Pelodiscus sinensis: one gene and its partners. The protein of the gene in region 1 interacts with the protein of each later gene in a pairwise test. Links are inferred from orthologs where the notes say so. Each region holds a gene or a part of one and is shown in the gene's direction. Other genes may lie near its edges.

Region 1 (7,723 bases):
GGGGAGCAGGTCTGACTTCCTCTCTCCTGTGCCATGGACCTCCGCCTCCCCTTGAAGGAAATGGGGACAATACCTCTTCCCCCTCCCTATTTCTCAGGAGTGGTCTCGCCCTGGCAGCCATTTTATTGCATTGTCCCTCCTTGCCTGGGGGGCAGGGAAACCCCTCCAGCCTGCCCACGGGGGCAGCTGAAGGGCTCATTTTGGTTGGTTGGCCGCATTCCTGGAGGTTTCGTCACATGACATAATCTTTAATACCCGGAGACTCCAGGACAAGCCTGGAGGGTTGGAAACTCAAGGGGCAGCAGAGACTGGTGGCAGCTGGAGGCAAAGCTCTCCCCATTTTGCTGTAGGGGGGGGCTCTGTGCCTGGCAGGAGGGATTCTCAGGGGGCGAGGGCTCATAGCTCTTTGTTCCAGTATTTCTCTCTTCCCTCCAGCATGGGATTTGGGTCAGGGTCGAAGACTTGTGGAATAGCAAGTACTAGCCCTGCCCCACCCATCACATACCATCCTCGCTCCCCACAGCCCTGCCCTGGCCGAGGGAAAGACCACCCCTTCTGTCCTTCCTGGCTAGGCTCAGGCCTAAGGTTTGCCATGGCCTCTGCCAGTCCTGCCTGGTGTCAGCATTGGGGATCTCTCCCCATCTCTCAGCTGGTCCCAGTGGTGGGATCCCACCTTCCTCTCCCACTGCTCTCTGCGCTCTCTATACTCTCATAAAGGGCTTTGCCTGCTCAGCCCCATCCCCGTGTCCTGCACCCCCCCTCTGTCTTTGGAAATGATGATTATCTAGACATTGATTGGTTTTTTTCTGGGGAGGGCAATGAGGGAGGGGCCTTTTCTTTCTTTCTTTCTTTCTTTCCTTCTCCCTGTTCTCAGACCCCCTGTCCCCCCAGGCTGGGGTTGTTGGGGGGGAAACAACCAACAAAATAATGAAGAAGCCATTTCTCTGCCCACCCGCCAGCGCGTGCAGGGCACCGGGGCGGGGGAGCGACCCCCCCCACCTGAGCACGGAGAACTGGAGGGGACTCTTGTGGCTATTCACCGTTGTGCTATGGTCTGAGCTGCTGGGTGAATGTGGTCAGCGCAGTGATTGTACTGGGTGTTTCTTTGCTGTTTGTGTCTCTATTTCAGACTCGCCATTAACCAGCCCTCCCTTGCCCCCTCCTGCACCTCAGTCCGTATTTCTTTTGTAAGGACTCTCCCTGTCCTCCCCCACCCCCAGACAGCGGCGACTCGGGTGGCGCCATGATATTTATACGTATTAATTATTATTATTATATAAAAGTTTGTACATATGTGAAATTTCCTCTACCCTTCCCTACCTCCCCTGGCCACATCGCCCCCAGGCTGGGCGCTGTAATTACCACTGGATTTGTACTGTATATAGACCTCTCTGGACCTCATTCTCTGTACATATCCCCTTGGGAAGGGAGTTCAGGTCACGAGCGCCCGCCCTGACGCTGTGTCGGACCACCTGGGCGTCTCGCTCTCCGTTTTATTTTATGTCGATTTTATTTTTTCTCATTTTTCTGGAGTGTGTGGTGCCAACGGAGAAACGTTTAATAAACAGCGATTGTTCTTTTATGCCACCTTGGCCTGAAGCCCCAGGGCATGGCCCGTGGGGGCCAGGGAGGCTCCTGCGTGGGGCCACAGGGCACCGTGTGTGGGGGTTCTGCGTGGGGCCCAGGAGGCTCCTGTGTGGGGCGCAGGGTAGTGTGTGTGGGGGTCCCACGTGGGGCCCAGGGCACAGCCCGTGGGGGCGGGAAGGCTCCTGCATGGGGCCACAGGGCACCGTGTGTGGGGGTCCCATGTGGGGCCCTGGAGGCTCCTGCGAGGGGCCACAAGACATCGTGTGTGGAGGTCCCATGTGGGGCCACAGGGCACCATGTGTGGGGGTCCTGTGTGGGGCCCTGGAGGCTTCTGTGGGGCGCAGGGCAGCGTGTGGGAGGGTTCCGCGTGGGGCCCAGGGCACGGCCCGTGGGGGCGGGGAGGCTCCTGCGTGGGGGTCCCGCGTGGGGCCCAGGGCACGGCCCGTGGGGGCGGGGAGGCTCCTGCGTGGGGGTCCCGCGTGGGGCCCAGGGCACGGCCCGTGGGGGCGGGGAGGCTCCTGCGTGGGGGTCCCGCGTGGGGCCCAGGGCACGGCCCGTGGGGGCGGGGAGGCTCCTGCGTGGGGGTCCCGCGTGGGGCCCAGGGCACGGCCCGTCGGGGCGGGGAGGCTCCTGCGTGGGGGTCCCGCGTGGGGCCCAGGGCACGGCCCGTGGGGGCGGGGAGGCTCCTGCGTGGGGGTCCCGCGTGGGGCCCAGGGCACGGCCCGTCGGGGCGGGGAGGCTCCTGCGTGGGGCCACAGGGCACCGTGTGTGGGGGTCCCGTGTGGGGCCCTGGAGGCTTCTGTGGGGCGCAGGGCAGCGTGTGGGAGGGTCCCGCGTGGGGCCCAGGGCACGGCCCGTCGGGGCGGGAAGGCTCCTGCGTGGGGCCACAGGGCACTGTGTGTGGGGGTCCCGTGTGGGGCCCTGGAGGCTTCTGTGGGGCGCAGGGCAGCGTGTGGGAGGGTTCCGCGTGGGGCCCAGGGCACGGCCCGTCGGGGCGGGGAGGCTCCTGCGTGGGGGTCCCGCGTGGGGCCCAGGGCACGGCCCGTCGGGGCGGGGAGGCTCCTGCGTGGGGGTCCCGCGTGGGGCCCAGGGCACGGCCCGTGCGGGCGGGGAGGCTCCTGCGTGGGGGTTCCGCGTGGGGCCCAGGGCACGGCCCGTGGGGGCGGGGAGGCTCCTGCGTGGGGGTCCCGCGTGGGGCCCAGGGCACGGCCCGTCGGGGCGGGGAGGCTCCTGCGTGGGGGTCCCGCGTGGGGCCCAGGGCACGGCCCGTGGGGGCGGGGAGGCTCCTGCGTGGGGGTTCCGCGTGGGGCCCAGGGCACGGCCCGTGGGGGCGGGGAGGCTCCTGCGTGGGGGTTCCGCGTGGGGCCCAGGGCACGGCCCGTGGGGGCGGGGAGGCTCCTGCGTGGGGGTCCCGCGTGGGGCGCCCGGCAAGTGGCGGGGACGCGGGGGGGCGGGGTTGGGTCGCAACGTCGCCCAGCCCTGCCAGTCAAGCACAGGACGCTCCCGTGGCCAATTGGAATGCGAAACGGAAGGGGGCGGGAAGACAGATCTGTCCACCAATCGGACGCGGGCTGCGGGGCGCTGTCCTCGGATTGGCTGACTGGAGATCAGGCGCCCCGGCTCCCAGGGGGTTGTGCTAGCCGGCGTGGGCGTGTCCCGGGGGCTGAGCGCTGGTTGGCCCGCCTGTGGGACAGGCTCGGGGCGGCGCGTGGCCACGGTCCCGCCAGCGATTGGCTACGTGCTGCAGGGCGGGGGCAGCGGTCGCTTTTGGTTGGTTGATGGCCCCCCGGTGGCGTGTCCTTCCCTGGTTGCCCGGGGGACCAGGGGCAGAGGGCGGGGTTTCCTGGGCTCCATTTCGGTCGGCCCGGGCGGAGGGGGCGGGGTTTCCCGGGGCTCGAGCTCGCTGAGCCCGGGCCGCTGGGACTCGCCCTGCTGCGCGCGGCCCGCAGGTGAGCCCTGGATCCGGCCCGCGCGCGGGGGATGGGCGGGGCGCTGTGGGGCAGGACAGGGCGGGTTGCTGGGGATGGGCGGGGCACTGGGGGGCAGGGCAGGGGGCGCTGTGGATGGGCGGGGCGCTGTGGGGCAGGGCAGGGGGCACTGGGGATGGGCGGGGGCGCTGTGGGGCAGGGCAGGGGGTGCTGGGGATGGGCGGGGCACTGGGGGACAGGGCAGGGGGCACTGGGGATGGGCGGGGCACTGGGGGACAGGGTAGGGGGCACTGGGGATGGGCGGGGCACTGGGGGACAGGGTAGGGGGCACTGGGGATGGGCGGGGTGCTGTGGGGCAGGGCGGGGGCGCTGTGGGGTAGGGGGTGCTGTGGATGGGCGGGGTGCTGTGGGGCGGGGTGCTGTGGATGGGCGGGGGCGCTGTGGGGCAGGGCAGGGGGCGCTGGGGATGGGCGGGGTGCTGTGGGGCAGGACAGGGCGGATTGCTGGGGATGGGCGGGGCGCTGCGGGGCAGGGCAGGGGGCACTGCGGGGATGGGCGAGTTGCTGGGGATGGGCGGGGCACTGGGGGACAGGGCAGGGGGCACTGGGGATGGGTGGGGGCGCTGGGGATGGGCGGGGCACTGGGGGGGCAGGGGGCACTGGGGATGGGCGGGGCACTGGGGGACAGGGCAGGGGGTACTGGGGATGGGCGGGGCGCTGTAGGGCAGGGCCGGGAAGGGGGCACTGGGGCTGGGCTGGGTGGGGGCAGAGGTGGGAGCAGTTTCCAAGAGGTGCTGCCATGGGGTAGCTGCTGTATGCTGGGGGGTACAGGTTCCTACTTCCAGGAGCCTGGGCTGTGAAGTCCCTCATTCTCCCTCTGTCCAAATCCCTGGGATCCCTGGCGGGGGTGGGAGGGCTGTAGTCCTGGGAACACAACTTCTACACCAGTCTCCCCTCCAGTGGGGCTGGCCCTGCACCTGCCTCGCTGTTGTGGGAATGGGAGTTCTCTTACCACAAGGGGTAGTGAACATTTCCCTCTCTCCCAGGGGCAGCAGCATCGCAGGGGGGGTTCCCTTTACTCCCTGTCTCTGCCATTGCAGGTGCCCGCCCTGGGCAGGCGGTGCCATGGAGCCCGAGACCCGCAGCATCCAGATCGAGTTCCCCCATTACGCGGCTGTGCTGCTGGAATCTCTCAACAAGCACCGCTTGGAGGGCAAGTTCTGCGACATTTCCATCCACGTGCAGGGCCGGGTCTTCCAGGCTCACAAGAGTGTCCTGGCCGCCTCCTCGCCCTACTTCCATGACAAGCTACTCCTCAATGACACCAACTGCATCGTGCTGCCCAGCGTCATCGAGCCTGACGCCTTCGAGAACTTACTGCAGCTCATCTACTCCGGCCGCCTCAAGCTCCTGATGGAAGCGCTGCCCAGCCACCTGCTGGTGGCTAGTGGACTGCAGATGTGGCAGGTGGTGGACCAGTGCTCGGAGATCCTGAAGGAGCTGGAGGGGGGCCCCTGCCGGCCCTGGTCCAGCAGGGCAAGTGAGAACCAGTCCCCCAGTAGCAGCAATTATTTTGCTGTGAAGGATGATGGAGAGCCGGTGGGTGGAAGCTCAGAGGGGCCTGGCCATGGCGGGGTATCGTCAGGCCGGGCAGCACCCGGCTGCCCTGACAATGAGGTGATGAAGATCCGGGTGTCCCAGGAGGAGGAAGAGGAGGAGGAGGAGGAGGAGGAGGAGCACGAGCACCAGGCCCGGATTTTTAGTGGCTCTGTGGACAAGGCAGTGAAGATTGTCCTGGAGGAAGATGGAGAGGTTGGTGGCAGAGGCGGCTCCAAAGGGCCATCTTCTGGGGAGCTGGACGGCCCCTTTCATGCCCCCCGCGATCACCCCAAGATCTTCTACATCAAACAGGAGCGCTTTGACCCAGATGAGGCTGCAGGGGCTGCGCTGGGAGGAGGCCTGAGTGCAGCCGGGGAGGCCAGCTTTCTCAAGTCATTGGCACAGGAGCGGGCATTGGCCATGGCTGAGGTGCGGGGTCTGTGCCAAGCAGACTTCCAGCCAAGCAGTGAAGTCAGCTACATAATCCCTGCTGCAACCACAGGTGCCGCCTCCTCCATCCCCACCCCTGGCTTCACCATTAAGGCCCAGCCCCTCTCCTCAGATGAGGCCAGCTTCCCCCAGAGCTCCTGGAAGCCAGTGGACCTACATGGCAACGAGATCATTGCCCACGCGGTACATGGCCAGGTGGTGCACGCACCTGTCAAAATTGTGGCAGCCCCTGATGGGAAGAAGTTTGGTTGTCTGTGCGGCAAGCGCTTTGCTGTCAAGCCCAAGCGAGACCGGCACATCATGCTGACCTTCAGCCTGCGCCCCTTCGGCTGCTCTGTCTGCAACAAGAAGTTCAAGCTGAAGCACCATCTGACAGAGCACATGAAGACCCATGATGGGAACCTGTACTCCTGCGAGGACTGTGGGCGCAAGTTCCGTGTGCAGAACTGCTTCCTCAAACACAAGGAATTGTGCAAAGGCCAGGGCTGGGCCACTGCTTGCTGGACCTACAAATAAACCTTGGATGGGGGCTGCAGGGAGGACTCCTACCACCCTTCTTGAGGCTGGTTTGAGCCCCTGAGCAGCTCAGAACCCTGCTCCATGGCCCGGTGGACACCAAAGTATGAAGGGCAGCTGGGCAGGCCAAGGGATTTGGGCTCTTGTGCTGCTCCATGGTGTGGCATTTGTTACAGACCTTGCCCTGGTGTAAGGTGGAGGAACTTGGGGCAGGAGGCAGGAGCATGGGGCTGATGGGAACCTCAAGGAAAGGGATTAAATCTGCCCTGCTGTGGGCACTTTGGGCCAGCGACAATAGGGCAGGTGAGAGAGGAGCGCTGGTGCAGCAGATTGCTTAATCGCAGACCCTGATGGCAGCAGTGGCAGGTTGGGCCTGTGAAAACCACAGTCCCGAGCTGCCCTCCTGGGAGTCTGACTTCTGGGCAATGTCCCAGCCAAGGCTGAGTCCCTCATGCCTGCTCCAGCGGCGGGTGGTGGGGGGCGACCTGCCCTTTTCTGGGAGCACTCCTCTGGAACCTGGTCTCTGACACTTTGAGGCCATGTGCCCAACCTGGGGTATTCCAACCCCCTGCCACAGGAGACTCAATAAAAGAGATCTGTGCCTCCCCCCGCCCCCAGCCTTGGACTCATCCTCTGCAGCCTCCTGCATCCCTCCCTGGCAGGACAGTGACTGGCCTTGTCAAAGTCAGGCTGGCTTTTCAACAGTGCTCTCAAAATGATTGAGAGGCACAAACCAGAGCTCACCGCTGAATCCAGTACTGTGGTGGGGGCATGGGCAGGATAGGGGAAAGCTTCAAGGAGATGATGTGGCCAGCTCAGCTGAATGGGATGGAACTAGGTCTGGAAGGGAGGCTTTTGTCTTTGTGGCTCCCACTACCTCCCTACTCTCCCTCAAACAAGGCCCAGCGTGAGCTCCCCTTTATGCTGGAGCAGCTGAGCCATTCCACTGTGCTGGGCTGCAGGTCCCAGGCCTGGGGCCCAAGATTCTGCAGTGAGCCCCAGCATCTGGCCAGCTTGGGTTGGGACCTGGCTCATCCTTTTGGGCAGTGACTGGTGGGAGGGTGCTTTGAGCTGGAGTGAATGGGTCTCTGTGCTGGCTGGAGCACAAAGCAGGGAGCAGTGTGCCATGTTCTGTAGAGCCAAAGTCCCTGAGTAGTTCACACCAAGACTCATGTGGGGGTGGGCTTGCCAGCCTCTCTGCAGTCTCCTTAGCCTGCTTTCTGGCTTCAGCAGCCTCTGCCTTTCTTGGCCCTGTCATGGGGGTATCTCTTAGTGCCTTTGTTTTATTTGACCTCTTTTTTCCTATCAGTTCCCTGCTGTAGTTCATGCCCCTTCCCACAAGGCATCATGAGCTGGGGGTGGGGGTGTGTGTGTGTGTGTGTGTGTGTGTGTGTGTGTGATGTTGAGTCAAACAGGGCAAGCCAGGCCATTGTTTATAACTATAGGCACCTCCCTATAGGCATCTGCTATTGGAGCAGCCTGGGTGGGTCAGAACATGTTTCTGATTGGCCAGTGCCAGATACTTCAGAGGGAATGAACAGAATAAACAACTTAAGGGCCATCCCCAGCCAGTCAGAGACTAGGGCATACCCCTGCCCAATAGCCATTGGTGGCCCTGAGCTCCAGGATCTTCTCCAGCTCTTT
Region 2 (7,793 bases), on another chromosome or scaffold:
GGCAGCTCATCCGTCGGACGGGCAGGGGAGAGCGCGGATGTGCCATGGGGCGTGTACCACGGACGCTCTGCAGCCAACGGGGCGACAGCTTTATGGTGGCCCTCAGTCCACGAATAACATGAAGCGAAAAGCCCGCTCTGCTGGGAGACTTCGTGTCAGAGGGGTTTCCTGGCTCACCAGTTACCTTCTGCTTGCTGTACAGGATCGTGAGCAGAGGGTCGGGGCTCCCCCTCGCCCAGGAAAGCACCAGGCTCTCTTGTGTTTACACCTCTGCCTTTATCCCAGGGGAAGCGGTACTGGCTCCTTTTCACCACGATGGCGTGGTTTTTGGCTGTCAAGGAGGCTCAGCTCTTCACACTGCCAGTTCTGTTCTCTTTAATTACACGTTACTCCTTCGTTGTCATGGATTTGCAGAATTTAAGCCTGTAATTAACATCCAGGCTGAGAAACTCAGGAAAAATAGATCATAAAAATTTCAGAGCTTCGCTGTTGTTTCTTCTGCATCTGCCACCGGGAGTCTTCAAGCTGCTGTCTCCACAGGGCATCAGGTGCCACTGAGGCAGGGGATTCTCCCGGCTGCACGGCAGCCTCTGTCTCCCATCACAGCCCCCTGTCTGGAGGTCAGATCCCACATGCGCATGGAGATGCATTCAGGGCCTGGAAGGACTTTCCCGTCTCTGTGCCCCGTGGGTCTGACACGGAACATGACTCACAACGTTGCTTACGTCACCCGAAGCGAGGCGAGCCGGTCGCTGTGCTCCGAGGAACGAGCGCACCTGCCTCCAGCGTGCCAGCTGTGAGCACAGCCGTGTGGGGAATGCAGGCAGGGTCCTTGGCATGGAGCAGGCAGCGTCCCAGGGTTGCTGGCTTAGTGACCTGGTCCCCATCTGTATTGGCTGGGGCCAAGCCTCTCAATGTGGCCCAGCCACGGATCTGTGCCTAAGAGCTCACACGGCACCTGTTGGCGCCTCCAGGGCCATTGCTCTCCATTTCAGTTCCAGTCCGCTGCCCTGACCTGTGGCATTGGGCAGAGTTTTGGTAGCAGCTCAGCACCCCCGAGAGCCCCCATCTGCCCACAGTTAAAGCCCCGATTTTAGGTTGATTTTGCCCAGACAGGGCCTCCAAAGCAGTGTGTGGCCTAGGAGCACAGGTGAGTCGGCAACCCCGATTTCTCTTGGAACGGCTCCCTGTGGGGGAGTGTTCCCATAGCCCTCTGCCGCCAGCGCCCCCTCACGTGGCCTGTGGAACAAATGAATGATCCCTTCCCCCAGTAACATGCTGTTGACCAATTAGAATGTAGTCTGAGGTCCTATGATATTCCTGCTCCGGCCCAGTGGCTGGATTCGTGGCTGCAAAAACCAACCTGGCCTGGGTTCCGGCCCTTGAACAGTTTGTGCAAAGTTGTTGTAGGAAGAGCTTCATAGATTCCTCAGCGTTTCCACCAATGTTTATTCCACAAGTGGCATTAGGCCAGAAACATTAAGCCTTAGTAGAAGCAACATGTCTTTAGGGAAGTGTTGCATATTGCAGGGTAAAAGCTGCATGCTCAATACACAAAGAACATGTTTTAGCTGCATAAAGAGACGCTACTGCTGGAATTTATGGCCGAGAAAAATGCCAATAACCATGTACAGTATTGCACACGATTGCTCAGGAAAAAGATGCTACCCACAGCAGTTAGCAATGGCTTTGTGTGGCGTGACAGAGGGGTGGTTTTTAGCACTTGGATTGTAAACCTCCTGCGGGAAAGGGACTTTGCAAAGTGTTTTTAAGGAAAATAGCTGCTTCTGAAAAAGAAACTTCCCTTGATTCTCTTCCCTTTCAAAAAATCACTTTAAAAAAAAAGTTTGAATCTCCAAATCCCAGCCTTAAAAACCCGTGGGTGAAATCCTGGCTCTCGTGAAGTCACGGGGAGGTCTGCCCTAGACTTCAGTGAGGCCAGGGTGTCCCCCTCTTAATGCTTTAACAGAGAATGCGGCTCTTGCTTTTGCCAAGTTCAACTTCTGCACCTAAGCTGGAACAGATCCTGTGCCGACCTGGAGCGCTACAGGGAACGAGTCGGGTCGCTAGGGAGGGGCTTCCTCCTGCGCTGCCCAGCTGTACGTAGACAAAATTCTCGGACTGGTTCTGTCCAGCAAAGACTGAGGCAAGCCCTGTCGAGATCCAGGACTCGCGAGTCCTCCGTGGGCCAGCCAGGGGCGAGATGAACGAATGTGAACTACTTCTGTGTGTTATGCAAACACCCCTCTCCCTGCGTAAGTGGCCTCTTTTGCTATGTCAGCCCTGCCCCTGTACAGCCCTTGGAGGTGGCGAAAGCGACGGTTTTTATATTTCTGAATGTTGTACTTTTTAACTCTTGCAAGCTTGGTAAACTCCAATAACTGTCCAACCCACCTGCTGTGCGTGTGCTGTTCTTCTCCGCAGCCTGGGCCTGCCCCCAAGGGCCGGGCGGGGGGAGGGGCAGAGTAGAAATACTAAAACTGTTAGTTCCTAGGCCTGTCTGATCGGGTGCCCCGGGCCAGGGCTCTGCAAGGGGTGGGATGGCAGGTCTAGGGTGCACTCGGCTAGCTCACCGCGCTTTCCAGTGCACCCCATACTAGCCCCACTTCGCAGCCTGGCCAGCTCCACTTAGGGACGTCTACACAGCTGGGTACGTCCCCCCCACACAGACACCTGCACTGCAACGGTGCTAAGCTGCAAGCTGGGGTCCACAGGGGCTGAGCTCCCATGCTCTCCTGTGCACCCCCCACGGGCTGGGCTCAGGTCCAGTGCTCTCCGGGGGACAGAGCGCGCTGCAGGCAGCCAGCACAGCAGCCAGCAGTCCAATTGGTGCCAGGTGGAGCCCCCTGTCCCTGCTGCCCCCCACACACTTGGTCCCACCCTGCTCCCTGTCCCCCCCCTCCCGGGCAGAGAGCATGGGGCACCCAGGCTGCAGGGCCTGCCAAGCCAGCCCCAAAACATCCGTGCAGCCTCTGGGAGTGCAGTGGGGGGCAGGGGTAAGGGATCGAGGGGGAGGTGCTGGAACACTGCACCCAAAGCCCTGGGGTGGCACTTCACAGCGCACCAGGCAGCAGCTGGGCTGTGGTGCATTGAAGGGACGGGATCTTTGGGAGCACAGTGATCCTGCAGCTGGGTTCCTCCCCTCCAGCACCCCGCACTCCAAACCCTTGGCCCTAGCCTGGAGCCCCCTGCACCCCAAATCCCTCATCCCTGGCCCCACACCAGCCAGAGCCCTCGCCCTCCACACGCTGTCCACGCCCTGGGCAGAGTGGAGCAGGCAAGGAAGCAGCAAGTGGGGGGGGGAGGGTCTCCAGGGGACGTGCCAAGCACTGAAGACCTTAATTATTAGGCAGGCCCACAGGTCGCCGTGTTGGCTGTGGCCTGAGCCTGGTCCGCAAAGCGGGAGTCAGACGGCACCGATGGCTGCACGCGGGGGGCTGCTGGGCCACGCGCGAGGCCTTTAGCCATGGGGGGGCTCTGAAGCAGCGTCTGCCTCCTGGGCCCTTCCTCTGCAGGGGCAGTGACTGGTCTGCACCTGCATGCTCCAGCCAGCCTGCAAAGCTGCTGTGCCCGCCCCCCGCACCCACTCGTGTCCCAGCCTGCAGCCCGCCCCCCGCACGGCCTGCCACAGCGAGCCTGCCCCCCTCCCCCCGGCACCCACTCGTGTCCCAGCCTGCAGCCCGTCCCCCCGCACGGCCTGCCACAGCGAACCTGCCCCCCTCCCCCCCGCACCCACTCGTGTCCCAGCCTGCAGCCCGCCCCCCCGCACGGCCTGCCACAGCGAGCCTGCCCCCCTCCCCCCGGCACCCACTCGTGTCCCAGCCTGCAGCCCGCCCCCCCGCACAGCCTGCCACAGCGAGCCTGCCCCCCTCCCCCCCCGCACCCACTCGTGTCCCAGCCTGCAGCCCGCCCCCCCCGCACGGCCTGCCACAGCGAGCCTGCCCCCCTCCCCCCCGCACCCACTCGTGTCCCAGCCTGCAGCCCGCCCCCCCGCACGGCCTGCCACAGCGAGCCTGCCCCCCTCCCCCCCGCACCCACTCGTGTCCCAGCCTGCAGCCCGCCCCCCGCACGGCCTGCCACAGCGAGCCTGCCCCCCTCCCCCCCGCACCCACTCGTGTCCCAGCCTGCAGCCCGCCCCCCAGCACGGCCTGCCACAGCGAGCCTGCCCCCCTCCCCCCCGCACCCACTCGTGTCCCAGCCTGCAGCCCGCCCCCCGCACGGCCTGCCACAGCGAGCCTGCCCCCCTCCCCCCCGCACCCACTCGTGTCCCAGCCTGCAGCGCGCCCCCCCGCACGGCCTGCCACAGCGAGCCTGCCCCCCTCCCCCCCCGCACCCACTCGTGTCCCAGCCTGCAGCCCGCCCCCCCGCACGGCCTGCCACAGCGAGCCTGCCCCCCTCCCCCCCAACCCCGCTCCTGGGAGTGGCTGCGGGCGGGAGTGTCCCAGTCCCCCTGCCCCAAGGCCCGGGGTGTGGCCGGGGGGGGGTTGGCTCCCAGCGCGGGGTGCACGCGGGGGCGGGAGCCCGGTGCGATTCCACCCGAGACCCCCGCCCGGCCCCCCCGTCCTGACAGCAGCACGCGGGGGGGGCGAGGGGGCGGTGATCCCGCAGCGGGGCCACGCGCGCGGAGGAGGGGCGGGGCCACGGCCAGGCCCGAGAGCGGGCTCGGGGGGCGGGGCTCGTGTGGGGGCGGGGCTGGTTTCTGCAGCCCCGCCCATTGGCTAACGTCACCAACCGGCCCATGCTCCGCGGCCCAGCCTCCCGGCCTCTGCGCGCGCAGCCGGGGGCGGGGCGGGGGCTGGTGCGCGCCCGTCAGGCGCTTGGCGGGGCAGCCCGGCCCGGGGTCCTCAGCGGGGCCTGGCGTGCGGCGCCGGGATGCCCCCGAAGGGGAAGAGCGGCGGCAAGGGGGGGAAGGGTGAGTGGGGGCGGGGCGATGGGCGCTGGGGAGTTGGGGTGCCCCGGGGCGGGGGGGATGGGCGCTGGGGGGGTGTTGGGGTGCCCCGGGGCGGGGGATGGGCGCTGGGGGGTTGGGGTGCCCCGGGGCGGGGGGATGGGCGCTGGGGGGTTGGGGTGCCCCGGGGCGGGGGGATGGGCGCTGGGGAGTTGGGGTGCCCCGGGGTGGGGGGATGGGCGCTGGAGGGTTGGGGTGCCCCGGGGTGGGGGGATGGGCGCTGGAGGGTTGGGGTGCCCCGGGGCGGGGCGGGGGGTTGGGCGCTGGGGAGTTGGGGTGCCCCGGGGTGGGGGGATGGGCGCTGGGGAGTTGGGGTGCCCCGGGGTGGGGGGATGGGCGCTGGGGGGGTGTTGGGGTGCCCCGGGGCGGGGGATGGGCGCTGGGGGGTTGGGGTGCCCCGGGGCGGGGGGATGGGCGCTGGGGGGTTGGGGTGCCCCGGGGCGGGGGGATGGGCGCTGGGGAGTTGGGGTGCCCCGGGGTGGGGGGATGGGCGCTGGAGGGTTGGGGTGCCCCGGGGTGGGGGGATGGGCGCTGGAGGGTTGGGCGCTGGGGAGTTGGGGTGCCCCGGGGTGGGGGGATGGGCGCTGGGGAGTTGGGGTGCCCCGGGGTGGGGGGATGGGCGCTGGGGAGTTGGGGTGCCCCGGGGCGGGGGTTGGGTGCTGGGGGGTTGGGGTGCCCCGGGACGGGGGGGATGGGCGCTGGGGGGTTGGGGTGCCCCGGGGCAGGGGGATGGGCGCGGGGGAGTTGGGGTGCCCCGGGGCGGGGGGGATGGGCACGGGGGAGTTGGGGTGCCCCGGGGCGGGGGGATGGGCGCTGGGGGTTGGGGTGCCCCGGGGCGGGGGGATGGGCGCTGGGGGGTTGGGGTGCCCCGGGGCGGGAGGATGGGTATTGGGGTGCCCTGGGGGCTCCCTGGTGGGGTGATCAGTCCATTCCCCCAGGCTGGGGCAGCCCGTATGCTCGCCGGGCTGGCCCTGCTCTGGCGCACTGCGGTGGCGCCGGGAGCCGAGCCCAGCAAGGACGGTCTGGTTTGTTTCCCAAGGAGGAGGCGCCGGCGGTGGGGGCAGCGCTGAGAAGCAGGCCCCGGCCCCAAAGGGGGGGGGCAGCTCTGTGAAGGTGAGTGAGGCACAGAGGGATCGCGGGGCTAGAGACCCATCTCACTGGCATCCAGCTGCCAAGCACGTGGGGTGCACAGGTGGCACAAGGTCAGCTGTGGGCACCCATCCGTGGGCAGCCACTGGGGTCCCAGGTTGGATTTGGCTCTAAGGGTCAGGGGTTCATGCTGGCCCACAAGGCAGCAACCCCCAATTAGCCAGTGTGGTTCTGGTGACTGAAAGGTGCCTGCCAAAGGCACCTGCTGAGTGCAGCCTACCTGTGTGACGGGGCAGTGGGAGAGGTGTGGGTTGCGTAGCACTGGTCCACTACCAAGCTGGTAGGCCACTTGCCGTAGCAGCAGGAGGCAGGCTGGACAGAGGACTGCCTCGCTCTGCCTTGGCTGCTGGTTGGGACAGCAATTGTGCCGAATGTCCTGGCCTAGAAGTGGGAAGCCTTTCAGCAGACTCAGTCCTGTGGTGGTGAGAACCACACTATGAGCTGCAGCAATCAGGGCGCAGCAACACAGACAGGAGCCTGTTTGGTAAACTGCAATAAAATGACTGTTTTGAGGGGAGCTGAGCCCCCAAAATGTAACTTCCTCCTGCTTTTGCATCCTAGGTTAGACACATTCTGTGTGAGAAGCACAGCAGAGTCATGGAGGCCATGGAGAAGCTGAAATCTGGAGTGCGTTTCAGTGAAGTAGCCTCACAGTACAGTGAAGATAAAGCCAGACAAGGGGTATGTATCGCTGGCTGCCAGGCTTGACGGCTCTTAGATGGACTGCCTGATGTCTAGTGCAGGGGTGGCCAAACCACTGCTCGTGAGTCACGTGTGACTCTTTCACAGTTAAAGTGCGGCTTCCCCTCCACCACCATTCTCCATCTTCCAGACTGGGGCAGGGGGAGCTCCGGGCTTCTGCCCTGTGGCAGAGTAGTAGGACTAGAGGTCTCTGCCCTGTTGAAGGCAGGAAGGGACTCCGGGCTTCAGCCTGGCAGGAGGCTGAAGCCCCAAGCACTGGCAGATGCACCCAGATCTTTAACTTCTGAAGATCATCATACATGGCTCAGAGGGTGAGTAAGTTTGATCAGTAGGTCTAGTGTTAGCAGGAGACTAGGATTCTGGGAAACCTTCCAAACAGTGGTATCATAGCACTTGGCAGATAAATGAGGTTGCATTGTGAAGTCTCGAATGGTCATCTGGATCTCGTGCTCCTCCTCCTTCCCTGATTATAAGAATCTTTGCATGGCCCATATTTCTCCTCCTTCCCCACCAATCTGGTTTTGCATGGAAATGTGCTGTCACAGAGGATGGTGTTAGTGTGCACTCAACGTACTATGACTCCTCTGATGATTAATCTGATCCTCTCAGGAAACTGTCCATAGCCACACCACCTTGACAGAAAACTATCACTAAGTCTTTACTACTAGGGGAATTCTGCACCAGAACATTTAAAATTCTGCTTACAATATTTTAATTTTTTGTAAAAGTCTGCGTATTTTGTTGTTAAACACAATATAATCATGCCAGTTTCAAATATTTTAGTACATTTCAAAATACCTGTCAGCAAGTATGTCTATCAACACAGATATCATAGCAGTCAAAAAAGCTAACCATTAGGATAGTAAATATCACAGTACCACTATATAAATCCATGGTATGCCTACACCTTGAATATTACATGCAATTCTGGTTACCCTATCTCAGAAAAGATCTTTAGAAATGGAAGAGGTACAGAAAAGGGCAATAAATATGA
Region 3 (7,167 bases), on another chromosome or scaffold:
CTTTTCAAAATATGCGACCAAGACAGCACAAGGAGAGCTGGGCAACAGCTGCGGATATAAGGCAGGGCGAGCGGTACGGCTGCCCTGGGCCCTGCGCTTCAATAGGCCCCGTGCATGCGTTACTACCTGTTGGCAAAATTGTGCTGCCTTGGGTCCCGTGCTTCAATAGGTCCCATGCTGTGGGCCCCGCAAAACTCTCATCCACCCCTGCTGGGCAAAATCATTCCCATTACAAAATCTTTTTCCATTGCAAACTGAAGATTTGGGCGGATGAACACAAATTGCAGATCTGGGTCTAGAACAGCTCATTGTTTTTGTCAGAATTAAAACAAAATCTGGAGGTCAAAAGAGTTTGTTCAGCATTTAAAAAAAAATGTGTTGACTTTTTGTTTTGGAAAGGTGTTTTGCTTTGGCAATGCCCTCCATTTTATTTTATTTTTTTTAATTTAAAATAGGCCTGAAAATTGAAATAAAAAAAAAATTCATTTTGGGCGATGTGAAACAAAACTTTTTTTAGACATTGCAGCTTGTCAAAAATTCCACATTTTCATTTCAGCTTACCCTGAGACAAAATTCTGTTCCTGATTATTTTTCCTCCCAGATCTGCCACCAAACCAAACCAAATTAGTGTTTCACACAACCCTAATTTCATCAGAGCTACCCCAAACCCAGGGCTGCTCTTAAAAGGCTTCTCAGAGAGACAAGGTGGGTAAGGTAAAATATTTGATTGGACCAATTTCTGCTGGTGAATGGAACATCTCTGAACTGCACATTACTCCAGATAGGCAGTTATAATAGTCAGTGTAATTGCAAGCCAATGTCGCCATCTAATGGCCATGGTTGTTCATTAAAAATAAGATTTTAAAAAAATATATTTTCTTGACTCATTAGATTACACACCCATTAAATAAAATGGAATTTGGAAAGAAAAACAAAGATAATCTTTATTATCTAGCAGAGTTCATCTGGCTGTTGGATAATTCAAGTGAAGAGGTTGAGAAAATCATGCTTAAGTGTTTCTGGCCTGAGTTGTAATAGAGATGTAGCCGTGTTAGTCTGATCATGCTGAAACAAGAGAAAGAACTATGCAGCACTTTAAGACTAACAAGATGGTGTTTTAGGTGCCCACAAAAGCTCATCACCTAATAAACCACCTTGTTAGTCTTTAAAGTGCTGCATAGTCCTGTCTTTTGTTCTGGCCTGAGTTGTTATGCTAGCAAATATTGTAACCATATAGAAGCCTGACGTGGGGCCAGTGTCAGCCTGAAGGCAGCAGGCATTTGCTCCCCAGGAGCAGAAATTTAAGCCCCTCAATAAGTGATCTGATATTTTCTGGTGTTGAACCCAACTTCCAAGAAGGGCTTCCAGGGCTGAGAGGGGGAAGAGAGATTAGAAGTGAACAGGCATGTAGGGCAGCACCATGTGGTCGGAGTGCCTGCTTCAGGTCTTTGAACATTTAGGTCTGTCTTTTTCAATGCCAGCCCTCAAGGGCAGGAAGAGAACATGAGCCAGGTGCAGCTACACTAGTCCAACTGCCCAGGGGCCCATACTGCAGCCAGGTAATATAGGCTGATTTGCATCCTAAAACAGGGAGCCTAATTATAGCTAGAACAAATTAATTGCTTCTCAATCTGGGGAGGACCTCAGGGCCTGAAAAGAGAACAGATGCGGGTCGGAGAGGACAGAAGTGAAAGTCAAAGATTCAAAATAGGGGAAGCAAACAGGGATCCTGAGCAGAGAACCCTGGAGAGCACCCACTGCTGCGCGAAGGAGTCAGGAGAGACCACCTGCATAGCAGTAAGGAACCGCGATGCATGCCCCAGTAGCAAAGACCCTCCGAGCTGCACTTCCTGCTCCTGGTTTGGTAAATGGGCGTTTTAGCCAACCCAAGAAGGGCTCCCTGCAGCCCCACAGATGGGGTGGGCATAGCTGAAGAAATGCGGGGGAAATAGGGTTGCCAGGTGTCTGGTATTTTCACCTCCTGTCTGGTAAAGAAAAAAATTCAGAAAATACCGGACACCTAAAAATATCCGGTATTTTCTGTTTTTTTCCCCTGCCAGGAACTGCAGAATGGCCAGGTGTTGGGGCTATGGTGAACCAGGCCCATAACCCTGGCTCCGCGAAGCCCCAGCTACCCCTGGACCAAACATGAAACACAGTGGTCTGTCAGGGACCCTTCACCCTCTACAGATGGTAAAAGTCCTGCCACTTTGTATCAGGGCCAGACACAAGGGTGTGGAAGTAGATTAAGGTGTTTGTTAGCATTCTACTGACAGGTCCTGCCCACAGGGTTGTGGGAGACAGGGGTGTGTGGATGGCGGGGGAGCGGTGTCAGCCAGTGCTGTGTGAGAGAGGTACTAGGGGACACATACAGGCAGGGTTGCCAACACTCTAGGATTGTCCTGGCATCTCTAGGAATTAGTGATTAACCTTTAAAAACAACTTTTAAATATGAGTCGTCCTGTGGCACCTCAGAGACTCACAAAAATATAAAGAGTATCATGAGCGTTTTTGGGCAAAACCCTCTTCTTCAAGACCATTTCATCTGATGAAATGGGTTGTGTGCACGAAAGCTCATGATAGATATCTATTTTGGTTAGTCGCTCAGGTGCCTCAGGACCACTCGCTGTTGTTAAAATGACAGACTAACTCGCCTGCCCCTCGGAGACTGATTAATCTTAACACGATGCTATTCGAGGAAACCTACAGGAATACATCCTACTGGTTGGGGGGAGCAGATGCTTGCCATGGGCGTTGGTGGGGGATGGAAGATGGTGGCCATGGGGGTGGGGGGGATAGAAGATGCTGGCCATGGGGGGGGGGTTTGCTGGCCATGGGGGGGGGTTGCTGGCCATGGGGGGGATGAAAGATGCTGGCCATGGGGGGGGGGGTTGCTGGCCATGGGGGGGATGGAAGATGCTGGCCATGGGGGGGGGGTTGCTGGCCATGGGGGGGGGATGGAAGATGCTGGCCATGGGGGGGTTGCTGGCCATGGGGGGGATGGAAGATGCTGGCCATGGGGGGGGGTTGCTGGCCATGGGGGGGGATGGAAGATGCTGGCCATGGGGGGGGGGTTGCTGGCCATGGGGGGGGTAGAAGATGCTGGCCATGGGGGGGGGTTGCTGGCCATGGGGGGGGATGGAAGATGCTGGCCATGGGGGGGGGTTGCTGGCCATGGGGGGGATGGAAGATGCTGGCCATGGGGGGGGGTTGCTGGCCATGGGGGGGGATGGAAGATGCTGGCCATGGGGGGGGGGTTGCTGGCCATGGGGGGGATGGAAGATGCTGGCCATGGGGGGGGGTTGCTGGCCATGGGGGGGATGGAAGATGCTGGCCATGGGGGGGATGGAAGATGCTGGCCATGGGGGGGGGGTTGCTGGCCATGGGGGGGATGGAAGATGCTGGCCATGGGGAGGGGGGTTGCTGGCCATGGGGGGGGGGGGTTGCTGGCCATGGGGGGGATGGAAGATGCTGGCCATGGGGGGGGTTGCTGGCCATGGGGGGGATGGAAGATGCTGGCCATGGGGGGGATGGAAGATGCTGGCCATGGGGGGGGGGGTTGCTGGCCATGGGGGGGATGGAAGATGCTGGCCATGGGGGGGGTTGCTGGCCATGGGGGGGATGGAAGATGCTGGCCATGGGGGGGATGGAAGATGCTGGCCATGGGGGGGGGGGTTGCTGGCCATGGGGGGGATGGAAGATGCTGGCCATGGGGGGGGGGTTGCTGGCCATGGGGGGGATGGAAGATGCTGGCCATGGGGGGGGTTGCTGGCCATGGGGGGGATGGAAGATGCTGGCCATGGGGGGGGGATGGAAGATGCTGGCCATGGGGGGGGTTGCTGGCCATGGGGGGGATGGAAGATGCTGGCCATGGGGGGGGGGGATGGAAGATGCTGGCCATGGGGGGGGGGGATGGAAGGGGCTGGCCAGGAGGGGGAGGCGGGGAGGGGGCTGATGGGACTGAGGCGCCCCGGGGTCACGTGGCGGGTGGGAGATGGGCGCTGCGACGCCACGTGCCTGGGGGCTGAACCCCGCGGGGCACGAGCCCTTCACGCGGGCTAACCCCGCCCACCGCGCCACGCTCAAGATGGCGGCCCGGCCACCCGTGGCTGTGACGCCCTGCGTGGTCTCGCGAGAACGGCCCGCGCGTCCATGGCGCCGGGCGGAAACCCGCGGCCGCGCTGCCAGGTTCCGTGCCCGGAAGTGGCGGAAGGTGGCTGGCGCGGAGCGGAAGTTCCCCGGAGAGACGGGCGGAGGCGGCGAGCGAGGATGAACAACAAATTCGACGCGTGAGTCTGAGGCCCCCCCCCCCCCGAGCTGCGGCCCGACTGACCGGCCCGGCGCCGCGGTCCCCCCCCCGGGGGCCCCGAGACGCGATGAGTCACCGGGACGCGCGGGGGGGCCCCGGCTCCCTCTGGCCGGGGAGCGGGTCCGGGAGCGGCGGGCAGGCGGCTCGGGGCGCTGCTGGGCCTTGTCTCGAGTGACCCCCCCCCGGGCAAGGCCCGTTCCCAGCCCCCCCACGAGCCTTTCCCCAGGCCCCACGTGACTCTGTCACCCCCCTCCCCCCCGCTCTGGGACGGGGCCAGCAGCCCGCGCCAGGCGCGTGTCGGGTCGGAGGCTCGCTCCGGTCTTTGCCCCGGTGCCGGTCTCGGGAGCGTTGGGAGGCCGGTTCCGTGCAAGATCCGCCTTGGGGTTCGACTCGCTCACGCCCTGCGGGCCCAGGCGCAGGGCAGCCCCGGGGGCTGGAAAAGTCACCTCCTGGAGAGCTGTAGTGAAGGCTCGGGATGCAAAGGGTTAACCAGTTACCCGGTGAGCATCAGCCTGACTGGTAAGCTTACCTACTGACTGGCTAATTGGGGTCCAGCCAGAGCAGCGCTGCCTGTGGCGCAGCATAGCAGGCCTCCTTCTCCCCCTGACTCACAGCGTCATGGCGCAGGCAGGGGGCTGCTCCAGGATTAACCGGCTAGACGTAGTCTTTAACTGGTTAACCCACAGTTTACATCGCTAGTTATGCTGCCCCGATCCCCAGAGTAGATACCACTAAGTTGACAGAAAAATTCTTTTATTAACCTGAAGGAGTAGATTTATTCCAGTGATTGGAAAAAACACTTTCTATTGCTGCAGTAAGTATCTATAGAGCCTGGCCTGGATACCTAATTTGTATCTGCAGCTGCGAAAATGATCTGTAGATATTTGCATCCACCTCTGTGGATATAAAGTGGGTGTCCACAGATTTGCAGGGCTCTAAGTATCTATGCAGCAAAGCTGCAGGTGTGCCACTGTAGAATTTGTGGTGTATACATACCTTTAGAAACTCAGGTAGTCCTGTGGCACCTTAGAGACTAACAAAAATATATAGACTCATGAGCTCTTGCGATGAAGTGGGTTTTACCCATGAAAGCTCATGAGTCTTTATATTTTTGTTAGTCTCTAAAGTGCCACAGCACTATTCATTGCTTTTAAATTTACAGATTAACACAGCTATCCTTCTGAGACTTGAGGAACTTGGCCTCTTTTCCCTTCTTTAGCTGATTGCTGTCAGTATTAGTTGGTGAATAGGCCCCTTAGTGATGTGTATGTTATAAATATCTTTGCTTAGTTCCCTGTTAAGAGTTGATGCTTAAGTTTGGGGTGCCTGTAGGCCAAGTGGTCTGAGACAGGTGTAGGGCGTGTAGGCTTTCTCGTGTGTAAGAATCTGTCGTCAGTAGACTTCCAACATAGACTCCTTTCTGCCAGTGGTTTGTGTCTTGGAGGAGGGGTCAAGTAATGTAAGTCTGATTTTGTAGGATGGCACCTCAGCCAGGAGCCATAAAGCTCATTCTTTGTCCCTTGCCTTTGTTAGTTTGAAAGATGATGATAGTGGGGACCATGACCAGAACGAAGAGAACAGCACACAGAAAGATGGTGAGAAGGAGAAAAATGATCGTGACAAATCCCAGAGTAGCACCAAGAGGAAGGTGAGTTCTTGACATCTCCTGCCATAATCAAGGGACAATTTTAGGCTTGAAATTCTGGCATCTGCTTGTGGTCAATGTGTCTCAGTGTATGGAGTATATCTAGGAATACTGTCCTGGCTTAGTGCTGTGATAGCATTGTGATGGGGAGCCATGTTAAATAGACTTTGAGTTACCTGAACATGAGCCAAGCTGAAGTATTTTCTCTGCTAGTGCAGCCAGAACTCTTTGCATAGCAAATTGTGGTCCATATGGAGATGGAAAGCAAAGCTGGACTCTTCCCCAGACAGCTTTTTGGAAAGTCTTGGTGTGGGGGAGCTTCCCATCACTTTCCCACATCAGCTGTGGGCTTTTTAAATGGTCTGCGTTTCTTTGCTGCCAGGGACTAAAGAGAATTTAATGCAGAGTTAATGCTCCTCAATCGTCAGGAGGACTTTCTATTGAGAGACGTTCCTCTTGGGAGTAAGCAGCAGCATCGTTAGCGCACCTAGTCCTACCAGATTGGGGAACAAATGTGCTAGGGCTGTCTAATATTCGATATGAAATCTAGTCAGTTGCTGTCAAACTAATGGTCTGTGTCAAGCTATTAACGTGAGATGAGATTTTTCTAGGAAAATGAGGTACACCGTTCATCTTACATTGGGAGCGTCTAATGGTGTGGGCTTCTAATGCTATGAATGTTACTTGTTCAGTCTTCCCTGGAGAGACATGTGAGAGGATAAATGAGCTTCTCTGTTCCCCAGGCTGTTGTCCCAGGGCCGGCTGAGCACCCCCTGCAGTATAATTATACGTTCTGGTACTCCAGACGAACACCTGGGAGACCCACCAGCTCTCAGAGCTACGAACAGAACATCAAACAGATTGGCACTTTTGCCTCGGTGAGTACACTCCAGTTGTTCCATTTTAGTGACCAAACATAGGGCAGGTTCTGGGAGTAGACTTTTCTCTGTGGTTATATACCTTTCACAAAACATAAAGGAAAACAGTTCATCTGCTGTGGCCATAGTGTTGGCTTCTGATTCACCTACAATAGATGACAGCCCTAAAAGAGACCAGGAAGCAGCATTGCCTGCCTTGTTCTAGGGGTGGGGCCTTCACTGATGGTAGCAGTGGAAACAGAACTCCCTCAGCTTGAAAGTAATGGCATGTAAGAAGCATTTCCATTCCTCCTTATGTCTGGCAATAGATACTCACCTGCCAAGTCCTGAGCCTG

What was found. The genes of interacting proteins can lie anywhere in the genome.
Region 2: the proteins of ZBTB9 (region 1) and PIN4 interact in binary tests that used the Homo sapiens proteins (3 or more experiments, as listed by UniProt). The two-hybrid records come from large-scale screens. The link is inferred for Pelodiscus sinensis from reciprocal best matches to the Homo sapiens genes ZBTB9 and PIN4.
Region 3: the proteins of ZBTB9 (region 1) and EIF4E2 interact in binary tests that used the Homo sapiens proteins (3 or more experiments, as listed by UniProt). The two-hybrid records come from large-scale screens. The link is inferred for Pelodiscus sinensis from reciprocal best matches to the Homo sapiens genes ZBTB9 and EIF4E2.

What each region holds. Positions count from the first base shown.
Region 1 is NW_027465855.1:143,087-150,809, forward strand, and holds the start of ZBTB9 (zinc finger and BTB domain-containing protein 9), read left to right. Parts: upstream 1-4,639; coding exon 4,640-6,079; 3' UTR 6,080-7,723. UniProt on the Homo sapiens protein: May be involved in transcriptional regulation.
Region 2 is NC_134723.1:1,954,620-1,962,412, forward strand, and holds the start of PIN4 (peptidyl-prolyl cis-trans isomerase NIMA-interacting 4), read left to right. Parts: upstream 1-4,762; 5' UTR 4,763-4,872; coding exon 4,873-4,912; intron 4,913-5,987; coding exon 5,988-6,061; intron 6,062-6,658; coding exon 6,659-6,778; intron 6,779-7,793.
Region 3 is NC_134720.1:49,306,418-49,313,584, forward strand, and holds the start of EIF4E2 (eukaryotic translation initiation factor 4E type 2), read left to right. Parts: upstream 1-4,136; 5' UTR 4,137-4,152; coding exon 4,153-4,289; intron 4,290-5,842; coding exon 5,843-5,957; intron 5,958-6,697; coding exon 6,698-6,832; intron 6,833-7,167. UniProt on the Homo sapiens protein: Recognizes and binds the 7-methylguanosine-containing mRNA cap during an early step in the initiation. Acts as a repressor of translation initiation.